Saccharomyces cerevisiae S288C: one gene and its partners. The gene in region 1 interacts genetically with each later gene. Each region holds a gene or a part of one and is shown on either strand. Other genes may lie near its edges.

Region 1 (3,783 bases):
CAATACAAAATTAGGTGTAACGTAGCTACAACAGTTGATAGAAATAATGCAACTTTTTTTAAAAAAAAAAGAGAAAGTGCTCGAGGTGGGGATTGAACCCACGACGGTCGCGTTGCTTTTAAAGGCCTGTTTGAAAGGTCTTTGGCACAGAAACTTCGGAAACCGAATGTTGCTATAAGCACGAAGCTCTAACCACTGAGCTACACGAGCATTTTCGAAAGAGACGTAAATTAAATTGTTATTTATACCGTAGATGATTGTTTTTCACGAAATTACCCTTTTGAGTTCCGGCTTGTTTCGTTCAACAGTACTACCACTGATAAGTTAGCTTCATTATTGGAAGAAGGTTGATAAATGAAAGAAGATTCACGACTATGCACGGCAACTGGTAAGTAATACACGGGCCCAGATATTTATTTTAATTCTTGGAAAGAAAGTATAAATTTATAGGTTCGCTATCAGTAAGTATACGAATTTCAAACTACGTCATATATAATATCCAAAAGAAGATGAAGGCGATGCGGTCACTCTAGGACTACAACTTATCCATCGCCTCATTTAGTGCATTCACCGCAATGTATACATCTGAAAATGTATTATATAAGGGAGCAGGAGCCAATCTAATTACGTTTGGTCTTCTTGCATCGCCAATGACACCATGGTCATGCAAATATTGGAAAACTTTGGGCATAATATCCTCTTTTCCAGTGTCAGAATCGAAGTAAAGTGACAATTGGGCGCCATGTTCTTCATCTGTGCTTGTTGGAGTTAATATTGTAAAAAAACATGGTAATTTCTCGATCCTTAAAGGGTGTTTGTAATACTTGGAGGCTTCCAACAGTTCCGTCATATAGTTCGTCAGCAACAACGATCTTTTACGAACTTCATTAATACCATTAAACTTCGCAAATAATTCCAATGAACTTCTCAATGCCACTGTGTCAATAACGCTTGGATTAGATTGCCTGAATCCCAATGCTCCTGGAATCGGCTCGAATACTTCCAGCATTTGAAATCGCTTAGCAGGATCATTGCCCCACCAACCAGCTAATCTTGGCAAACTTTCCTTAGCAGGGTCTGGTTTAGTATGCTTCGAGTGGACAAATAAGCCACCAATTCCACCAGGCCCGGCATTCAAGTACTTGTAAGAACACCAACAGGCAAAGTCAACACCCCAATCATGAAGTTGCAATGGGACGTTCCCTACAGCGTGTGCTAAATCCCATCCAACCAATATGTCGGGGAATTGGTGGGCAAATGAGGTGATTCGGCCAATATCGAAATATTGCCCCGTGTAATACTGAACACCTGACAAACAGACCAGCGCCAATTCATCTTGATTTACCTCTATGGTATCCAGGATATCTTGAGTTCTGATATAAGTCTCTCCCTCGCGTGGCTCGATCTGAATAAAAACATTCTCAGGTTCCGAAATTCCATGAATTTTGCACTGGTTGTAGAAAGCATAATAGTCTGATGGAAAGGAGCCCTTTTCAAAAAGGATCTTGAATCTTTTCTCAGTAGGTTTATAAAACGTAATTAACAATGAATTCAAATTTGCAGTGAGACTATTCATTACTGCAACTTCATTTTCTTGAGCACCCACGATGGGGGCTAGTAGTGGAAGAATAGGTAAGTCAATGCTGACCCAAGGCACCTTTCCTCTGGCTTCTTCAGGATGTTTGAAATGCGATTCCACAGCACAATCGCTCCACGCATCTAGCTCAGCATTAATTGAATTCCTAGTTGACTTCGGCATCAAACCTAAAGAATTCCCGCATAAGTACGTCACAGGCTTATCGTCGGACGATAGTCCCATGGATTTAAATGTAGGGATGTTGAATTCATCCCTCAGAGATTCCGGATATTCTCCGTCTAATTCCAAAGCTTTCTCCATAATTACCAGTTTGTTTCTTTTTTCCACAGAATATTTAGGCTTAATATGTACGTATTGACAGCATATATATTTGCTGTCTTGAATTTATTATGCTAATAAATAATTATGTTTTTCAAGCGCAGTCACCTATTTCCAAAGCGATGGGTTTGTCCGTGCCGTAGACGGCATCCCGTCGTTTTAATAACCGTTATAAAAACCGCCCCCATATTTTCGTGGGTTGACGACGACAGGCGTGGACGACGTTAATTGACGTCGTCATAATATATTTCATATTATGATTTTTTCCCTCACCATTACTTGTTCTCTCAAGTAGGAGTATCTGGCACTTGGACGGTGATGTCCTCATCAGCATCAATTGCTTCGTCTGGATATGAGAGAAAATCAGAGGATAGTGGGCCAGTGATAGTTTTTCTCCCTCGTGAAGCAGCATGTTTTACCAACTCAGAAGAAACGCCATCTTTTTCTGGGAGCGGAGACAATTTTTTTGTTCTCCGGACATTTGCAAATTGTTTTTCCAGTTCTGTCACAGCTATTTTCCCGGCTCTTTTGCGCTGTTGTTCATCTCTTTTGGCCTCAACTTTTCTCGAAGAGACTACTCTTTCCTGTTGTGTTTTTACATTTATTTTGGAGGAAATTTCCGATAATGCTATTTGGCGTTTTATTTTAATATTTGGGCTTATTAAATCAAACTTATATTTGCTGGCATTCCATATGACGCCGGTGTCATTTTTCTCTAAAAATTTCATGCCAGAAAATATTATTGATCTAATTCGCAGAACACATTCTTCTTTTGGAGAAAGCACTTTAGTCAATGTAGGGCATCCAATTATATTATTAATCATGTCGGGAGAATCATACACATAATCGTCATTAAAATCTGTTAGTGCAAAGTTAATGCAAGAAAATTCCCTGAAAATAATATCTTCTCTAAAAAGATAGCTTCTTTTCGGCCTGTGGCTATATATATTTCCTGAACAATTCAGTGGACTATTTATCAAGTCGTTCAGCAACAAGGCGAATGAAGTGCAAAACTTCCTGTGTCTGTGAGTGTACTGCAAAATAGATCTATATGACTTAATCCAGCACATAAGCAAACGAATAATGGCTAGATATCGAAAGTCTTCCATGTTTTTTTGCCAGGAGGGTTTGATGACGACGTCTATGATATTAGCAATAAAATCAAAGCTCAAGTCTAAAAAAAAAACCTGGCGCTCACTCAAATCTGCATATTTGAGTTTGTTCTTTTGTTCCTTACTTTTTCGAGTTGTAAACATAAGATCGAAACTTCCCATTGTGGCAGCCAAGTTTTCAAGTATAACATTAATATTACCTGAATGATACTTTAATGCAGCCATTTGTAAATGCTCTTTCAATAACCAACAATTAGAAGCACGTGATGCGTTCCATGACTGTGGAACCAAAGTGTGTTCTACTATCGATAGAAATTGCAAAACAATTTGACCTTCAAAGAATGATTTCTCACCTTTGAGATCTTTTGACACAAGAATTGCCAATTTTTTCATCAGACGTCTTCTTTCCGGAAAATCAGGAGTCAAAATGAAATCTTTCAAATTGTTTAACGCACATTTAGACGGAATCCTTACCAATGCTCCTCTTACTAATTCAAAGAAATACAGTGAGAATTTCCCAGTGATCAAGTAAATTTTCGCTCGTTGAAAATAAGTATCTCCAACGGCTGGGAGATAGAGTGAGGCAATATTCAAGTACCTAATAGACTTCTCAAAACCTTCCACACTCTTGGGTTTGTTAGACGGCTTGTTTAGTAGTGTTTTATAAAAATGTGTGGAACCTAGATTAATCACGCATCTTTGTAGTGAGATTACAATGGAAAACGTCAGTGGATTACTCGTGTTTAAGATAATTTT
Region 2 (4,073 bases), on another chromosome or scaffold:
ACAAAACGACAGAAATTAGACCAACAGGGTAATGGAGATCAAACAAGAGACTTTGGCACATCAATGGAATTGTAATAATATGTAGGATAGAATGAAAGGAGGAGTCACCATAGGTGAAAAAAAAAAGCACCTATTGCATATAAAGTATTCAAAAAGGTGTTGAAAGCTCTTCCTGTATATGACCCTGTATTTAATGTACGCGGTTAAAAAATTTTTATATTTTTAAATAAGTATCAACTTGGATAATATGATCTTGCCCGCAAGGTGGTTTTATATGAATAATTACTTTTTTTTTTTTTTTTTTTTTTTTTTTTTTTTTTTAATTGAACAATAGATGCAGAGGAATGCTCCAAAATTTATTTCCTTGAACAATATTACAAGAGGCAGATATATACTTTTCCTTATTTCCCTTAGTAAAGAATGATGCATGTATACTATTACAAATTTAAACTTCACCCCCACCATGGATGCAAAACAAATAGAAAGCCATTATCATTAGTTTTTTTTTTTCATTCAATTACGATACTTGCTGAAGAAATCTTGATGAAATTCTTTCCAGTCTTGAATCCATTTAGTCCCTGGAGCCAAAAACGTTGTTCGCACATGATAAGTCCCGGGTCTTTGTCCGAACCCAGACCCTGGGACAGTACAAATACCTGTAGATTCTAGCAAAGATGTGCAATAGAACTCATCAGGTTCGATGCCAAGGCGTTCGCTTTCACAAAGAGCTTTCTTAGGTAAAACAAGCCTAGGGAAAAGATACATTGCACCCTGAGGTTTTTGGCATTCGATACCCTCTAGTTCCTTAAACGTCTCGTACAATAAGTTTGCTCTCGTACGCATTTCATGAAAAATTTTCAGCCTTTCGTCATGATCTTGTTCATAGGACTCGTCTCCAGGCTGGGGTGGTTTGACCATTAAATCAACCACAGCTTGTCCTGTGACAACAGAACATATGGATATAGACATGAGTTTGAAAAGAGCATCTCTTATTTCTTGAGAAAACCCAATAATTTCCATGTAACCGCCTCTTTGGCCGCACTCATCCATGAATCCTTTAGAAATGGAGTGTAAAGAGGCGAGCTGAACGTTATCGAATTTTCCTGGATAAAGATGCTGCAATTTTCTTAGGACTTTCTTCATCGAATGAAATTTAACATCGTTGAAAATGTTTTCTTGATAGACCTCATCAGAAATGATTGTAATGCCGTATTTCGCAGCGATCAAACAGATCCTGGCAATGGTTTCTTCAGAAAGAACTGCACCGGTTGGGTTACCTGGATTAATAACTATCAGCACAGATGGTCTGATCTGTTTTTTCAAAGCATCTTGCACTACTTTTTCAATTTCGTCGCTGTTTGTAGACCAATTTGACTCCTCATCTAAGTAGTATGGCAGCACTTGTGCATTGAAAAGAGATGCGGATGCAGTATAAAGCGGATACTGCGGAATTGGAATCAGCAGGCCTGTTTGAGAATCTTTACACAATAAAGATAACAAAGAAGTTGCCGCGGACGAAGCGCCAGTGGTTAAATAAATATCTTCCGGTGTAGCGGGCTCACCGCCGTCTCTTCTAGTAATGAAGTCAGCAACTGTTTGCCTTATTCCTGGCACACCTTGAGAATGCGAATATGCCCCTATAGAACCGCCAATATCATTCAAGAGGCGCTCAGCTCTTTCCAAGGCGTCCCTGGAAAACAAGTTCAAAGAAGCCAGTTCATTATGGCCTACTCGTAAAATTTCCGGGTACTCCAGGATGGCCAGTACTTGCCTGGTAAAGGTCAAAGGCTTCTGATCCAGTTGCTGCGGATTACCAATGTTCGCATTGATAATATCATCGAAAGGCAAAACTTCTGGGTTTTTTTTCAATTCCTCTTTTAGCTCGTCAGCTCTGGTTGGAATAGCTCCTCTTACAGCATATTCTGCCTTAGTGACACCTGTATTCAAATCTTTTTTAGTAATCTTGCCAGCGGGCTTAAAATCCAAATCCTTTGCGGTGAACACACCTTTCAAATCCTGTTGGTGTGTCATTGTCATGTGTTCTTACTTCTTCTGTGTTTACCACTTACAAAAACAACACTACTGTGGCGCTCCTTCCCTTTATTCTTATCTTTTATGCCTCTAGAGATATGAGGAAATATTGGGGTATTTACTGAATGAGAAAAGGATGATGTCAGTCAAGAAAGGATCAAAAAGAAAAGTGAACAGAATATAGTTCCCACACGAAGTAGTAAATTTAGCTATCCTAAAAGTGTATTGGTAATTTGAAGAGATATGTAGATGTACATATGGGACCATAAGAGTAGGAAAAATAAAATAAAATCGCCAAACAAGTAGGAGAAGCCTCAAGATACAAGCCGTTTCCATGGAGAAAATATTGCGAATGAGGCCAAACTTGAACTTTTTTTTTTTCTGCTAAAAAATTCAGAAAAAAAATGAAATTATTTTCTTAGGTATAATGAAGTAATTATGACGAAGTACTTTGAGAACCCATAAAGAGAAGCAATTGAAGACGTGTGGAGGACATCAGCCCGCAGCACATTAGTAGAAACAATAGTATCGTGATGTGATCCCTCTTGGACCCTTTGCCAATCAAGGGTGAAGCGAAGCCATTTAAAACGTACGAACAATGGCGGTAGTTGAGGTATGGGTGAGGCCGCAGATTAAATCCCGGCGGCAGGAGCAACCGCTTTTAACCAGAATTGTATGTTATAAAGTATCTGTATATACGTGTATATATGTTGTGTGTATGTGAATGAGCAGTGGATCTAAGTAACTAAGTCCTCTAGTTCTTCAGGATCGAGGCCTTCTTCGCTGTACACTAACTCCATGGTTGGGACGGCGGCAACTTCTTTGAAGTTCTTAGACAGCAGTGGTAACGCTGCACCTTCTTCTTGATTCCGAGTGATGCACTCAGTCTCATCTTTTTCGCCTTCTTCATCAATTTGTTCTAGTGGGAGTAAATCAACTTTATCTGGGGTGTCATCTTCGTCTTCCAAGTCAAGCTTATATGGTGAGTTGAACGTCTTCAGCTTTTCAATATCATCTTGTTGAAATGGGGAATAGCCTTCTGGTACATACGGTAACGGCTCCTGCCTCTGTGGTGCTATTTCGATATCATAGTCATCAGTTTTATCACTTTTATCGTTTTTAGTTTTTTGCTCATTCTTCGTGGAGTTCTTTATGAGTTGTTGCAGACCACCTTGCTCATTAAATAGTCCTAGGCCACCATTTAATTCATTTTCACCGTCGGAGGAATCCTGTTTTAAAAGTGCACTTTGGAGTTTTTTGCCAAGTTTACTCTCGGAATCTTCATTACCTTCATCATCGTCGGAACTCTCTTCATTTTTACCTGAATCTGCAAGATCTTTTAAAACTAGACTTTTCATTTTAGGTAAAGCATTATAACCAAGGACAGAACCGTACTTTTGTAACTTTCTTGAATTGCTTAACAAATCATTATGGTTGGCCCTACTACGACTGCGAGAAATTTGCGAAAGTTTCCTGAGTTGGTCGTTTTTGCGTATAGATAGTGTATTCTGTAGTTGTGGTAAGTCTGCATCTTTACTCTGATTAGAAGTTTCGGGAAAAATAAAGCTTTTCGATCTATTGTTGTCTTTTGCTGCCAGAGGCAATCTTCCTTGTTGTTGCGCATGGGTATGCAACCTTTTTGTGGGTGACACCTCCTTCCCTCCTTGTATGTACTTTAATGTGTTGCCATTGTTGCTGTTCGCATCCCTTTTGAGTTGGTCCAATCTTACAGGTGGTTTTAAAATATTAGAGTGCGACCTTTTCAGCAAGTGAGCCGGCGTCTGTGGAAAGTTAATGCCGGAACTTTCATTCCCTGTATATACGATATTATTCTCTTTATCTTCGTTAGCTGGCATCATAAAGGTTTATTATCTAGCACTTAATCTAGCTTGGTACCGCAGAAGTGTAATAGTATGTGAATGGGAAAAACCGCTAGCAACCGTTACTTGCCTTCGCCGAATATTGATTTAAAGCTGCATTTATTTTGTTTGTTTATTTTGTTTGTTTTTCTTTTTGACCTCTTACACGAGTTTTTTGACGCG
Region 3 (4,027 bases), on another chromosome or scaffold:
GCAAAATTGACTGGGATCAATGACGGCGATAGCAATAGCATCTCAGGTAAAGGTAACGTAAACACCTTCACATCTCAAAACGGGAAGAAATATCGTTTGCAAAGCCTGGACGAGTTTTTTTCCGACATTCCAGAAAGGAAGAGTAAACCAAGGAAAATTATAAAGGTGGTGGAAGAAAGCAGTGACGAGGATGAAGACGAATCGGAAGAGAGCAGTGACGATGATGAGTATAGTGACTCTTCTTTGGGAACGTCTTCTTCGGGAACGTCTTCTTCGCATCTGGAGCTTTAGAACTCGGAGATAATACTATATAAATATGTATATTTATAGATATAGATATAGGCATGTATATCTTCCCAGTAATATACGTGTTTGGGACGAAAACAAAAGAGAAGTTGGTAAACAAAGTTTCATGTGAATTTGCTTAGTACAAAAATACATACAAATATAAAAGAAAAGTTACAAATTGCAAACACACTCATAACGAGGGGCAAAAAAAGTGGAGGGTGAAGAAAGTCAAGCCTAATACATGTACTTAAACTCAGGGTTTTTGTCGCTTAACCTTTCGTCGTATGGAATAGGCTCTCCCAATTCATTACAGCGATCTATTATTGCTTTCTTTTTATCGTTTTCCCTCTTGTATAGGAAAATTTGCACAACCGTCATAAATATGGAGAAGACTTGAAAGGCCAGACTAATCGACAGCCCTTTGATATATCTTGGCTTGTCTTTGGCAACAAAAATTTGACCAGAGACCAACCCTGAACCAGACCCGAAAAATAGATTAATTCCTAAAGCGGTGGCTCTCTTGAAGTAATTACCAGTGTTACCACTTAACCATAAACAGTTACAGGCAGCATTAACGTAAATACCCATACAAAGAATGTAAACGCCAAAATATCTCACACCATGAACTTGAGAACCAAGGACGATAGCTATGCCTATCGAAGTCGTCAGACAAGCACCCAGGATGAATGGAGATCTCAACTTTATACGATCAGACCAAACGGCACAAATGAAGAACACAATTGCTGTAAGGAAATAGATGGGCACGGTCATTAATTGAGCTCTGACATTAGTGAACCCCATACTGGTAATGATGATCGGCAAGAAGACTGTTAGACCAAAAGTAGTCAAATCGATACCGAATAATGCCACAGCACTAGCCCAAGTCTTGACATCCTTAACTGCTTGCCACACTTGGAACCATTCAAATTTTTCGTCCGGGTCAAAAGTGTTCATAGTCTTGTATCTTTCGGAAATGTACTCTTTTTCCTCCTTATTGAAAAACCACGAATCCTCCAAATTTTTGCTCAACCCGAAGGCATAGAATGGTACGAACCCCAAAGAGATACAACCTTCGACAATGTAAATGTATTGCCAGTCCTTTAGAGAACCGCTGATTTTGGAACAACCATAAGCAATCAGCCCACCAAAAGATGAAGACAAACAGGCTGCACTGAAGACAAAAGCGAACCTCAGAGCATATTGTTCTCTTCTATAGCAGACTGAAAGGTACATGTTAATAGCGGGATAAATCATACCTTCAAAGGCACCCAGTAGTAGTCTGACAACGATCAATTGAGCATAATTCTTAACCCAAGCAGTTCCGAGCGAAATAGCACCGAAACAGGTCAAACAGATACTCATCATTAATGGCGGACCCATAATTTTCAGAAGGTTAGTACCTATGGGGTCGAAAAGAACATACGTCGCGAAAAAAACTGTGACACATGTGTTATATTGCGTTCCTACAAGGTGGATATCCTTGGATAGACCTGCAACTTCTGCGTTACCAATATTCGATTTATCCAGGTTAGAAAGGAAATATAGCATCCCCATAAGAGGAATCAAGTATATATCCATTTTGCGCAAGACACGCTTTTCCATTGGATGGGAAGGGGAGGGGATGCCGTCATCATCCGTGGTAGTAGCCATAATTTCCCGTTCGGTGGCAAGTTCCGACTTCTTGTCATGGCTGCGATTATGCAAGCTAGCGTCATGGCCTTCATCTTCCTGGAACGTGACTTCCGTAGGCTTTTCTTCTGATCCATCATTGGTGGGTGATATGAAAAGCACATCATCCACCAAATGCTTAGGTGACTCCATTGTAAATTTGTTGCTCATCTAGAGGTAATGACAATAGTTCAATGCTCGAAAGTGAAGAAATATTTCTTTTTTTTTTTATATAAGCCTTCTGCGCAGTCGTTTTTTTTTCAGTCGCTGTCTCACGGGGGAAAATAGTTTGAAAAAGGCGAAGAGGGGGAAAACTGTGATGTGAATACGACTTCTAAGACAGTAAATATGGACGTATGCTTATAGCTTGGAGAGTTAGTTAATATAGAGAAATATAAATAGTAGATAAGAAGTACATATGAAACAAAAAAAAAATGGCAATAAAATAACAAAAGGATCTCGAGTAGGAACATACTTCAAAGAAAGGAAAACTCATGGTTTATATATTATCCAGAATTTTTAACGTAATCGGAGATGCGACAGATATTTCAGGGTGTATGGATGAGGTCAAAACAATACTAATCACACACGCCGCGAAGCCTTCGACGGTTCGTAACCTGTCCTCATGTGTGACGCATAGGATTCTACGGTAGATCCCGAGTATGCCCGGCTGTGATTGGTAACTATGATTGCGAGTAATAAGCGATCCGGCGTCCGGTGGTATTTTCTATTTTGTTGGTGCGACCGCTTCTTCGCAGAGAATGGGTGACTTGTAAAAGGAGAGAGACACTGGAAAAACCAACAGAATACGAGCAGGAAACTAGAAAATAAAAAACTAAAAAAAAAAAAAAACAAAAAGGAAAGGAAAAATTAGTAGAAGCCGGCGACGATTGCAGAATCCAGAGGGATACCGCTGTAACAGAGAATACGGGCACCCAGACAAGTGACTGGCGCCAGACTTTGTTATTTCACCTGGACCCGAATAATAATATTAAATAGTGATAATAATAATAACATATAGCATAAATAATAATGTACAAAATAATAATAATAAATAAATAAATGGTTCACCATGGACTGTACAGGCGTTCCGGAACGCACATAGTGACAGTACAAGACCTGGTTGTGTGCCATAATGGCCGGCATGTGAAATCGCGGCTTCTGTATATGTACATATCTGTTCTTTTACCATGTCGTCCATTTTCCGTTCACTTTAGCCAACACGGCGACGTTGTGCGGAATTGATTTGAAGTCGATTTTTTCTATGGAGTATTCCCAAACTGCCCCCAAATTTTGCAAATTAGTGCGCGGGGTGAATGGGTGCGTCAGAGCATTTACTGACACCTGGCGGCATAAGCAGCGACGTATCGTGTCCAAGGCAGGCCATAGCAAGAGCGTTTGTGATTGATTTTCAAGGCGCAGATACCATTGGAACACAGTAGCGCAGAAGGTACTCCTCAAAAGAGACAGAGAGAGAAATCAGAGTCAGGGAGCTTAGTAGCTGCTGTTACCAATATTATACAATAAGTAAGGTTTGCATATGCGGAAACTTCGCACTTGAATTTTTTTTTTTTTCTTTTTTGGTAGCTTTTTGATGTTTCCAGAGGATGTGAGTCAATGAGTGGTGTGACCCCAATACCACATTTTGTTGCTGTTTTTTTTTTTTCATTGTTAATTATCACTATTTTTTTTTCTTTCTAGTATAACCCATTCGAACCTCCGTGGAGGCATTAAAAGGGAGAGTGAAAAAAAAAAAAAGAAAAGAAAAAGAAAAGATGCCGCCACATATAGAGACCTTAAAGGGATTGAAAAACTGTACGTAAATCATTGAAGGTTCTACACGTCATCCATGAAGAAAAGCATTTTCGGGAGAACGCCAAACTTCAGACATGGGTGTGCATTCATTTTGGGATATTGCAGGTCCTACGGCAAGACCGGTCAGGCTGGAATCCTTGGAAGATAAGAGAATGGCAGTAGATGCCTCCATTTGGATATATCAGTTTTTGAAAGCTGTCCGTGATCAGGAGGGGAATGCAGTGAAGAATTCTCATATTACTGGGTTCTTTAGAAG

Evidence for each region.
Region 2: mutations in BNA5 (region 1) and ALT2 are lethal when combined (synthetic lethality), as found in Saccharomyces cerevisiae (one study listed by BioGRID).
Region 3: mutations in BNA5 (region 1) and TNA1 together harm fitness more than expected from each alone (negative genetic interaction), as found in Saccharomyces cerevisiae (2 studies listed by BioGRID).

Annotation. Positions count from the first base shown.
Region 1 is NC_001144.5:605,223-609,005, forward strand, and holds BNA5 (kynureninase), read right to left. Parts: upstream 1,898-3,783; coding exon 536-1,897; downstream 1-535. Other genes in the region: EST1 (Est1p), read right to left, coding at 2,203-3,783. UniProt on the Saccharomyces cerevisiae protein: Catalyzes the cleavage of L-kynurenine (L-Kyn) and L-3-hydroxykynurenine (L-3OHKyn) into anthranilic acid (AA) and 3-hydroxyanthranilic acid (3-OHAA), respectively.
Region 2 is NC_001136.10:677,728-681,800, forward strand, and holds ALT2 (alanine transaminase ALT2), read right to left. Parts: upstream 2,038-4,073; coding exon 514-2,037; downstream 1-513. Other genes in the region: replication fork barrier binding protein FOB1, read left to right, coding at 1-75; PDS1 (securin), read right to left, coding at 2,769-3,890. UniProt on the Saccharomyces cerevisiae protein: Inactive alanine aminotransferase. Forms a catalytically active Schiff base with PLP, but lacks alanine transaminase activity, probably due to an altered structural conformation of the dimeric enzyme.
Region 3 is NC_001139.9:1,010,585-1,014,611, reverse strand, and holds TNA1 (Tna1p), read right to left. Parts: upstream 2,128-4,027; coding exon 523-2,127; downstream 1-522. Other genes in the region: APL6 (AP-3 complex subunit beta), read left to right, coding at 1-291; ssDNA endodeoxyribonuclease RAD2, read left to right, coding at 3,846-4,027. UniProt on the Saccharomyces cerevisiae protein: Involved in the uptake of nicotinic acid.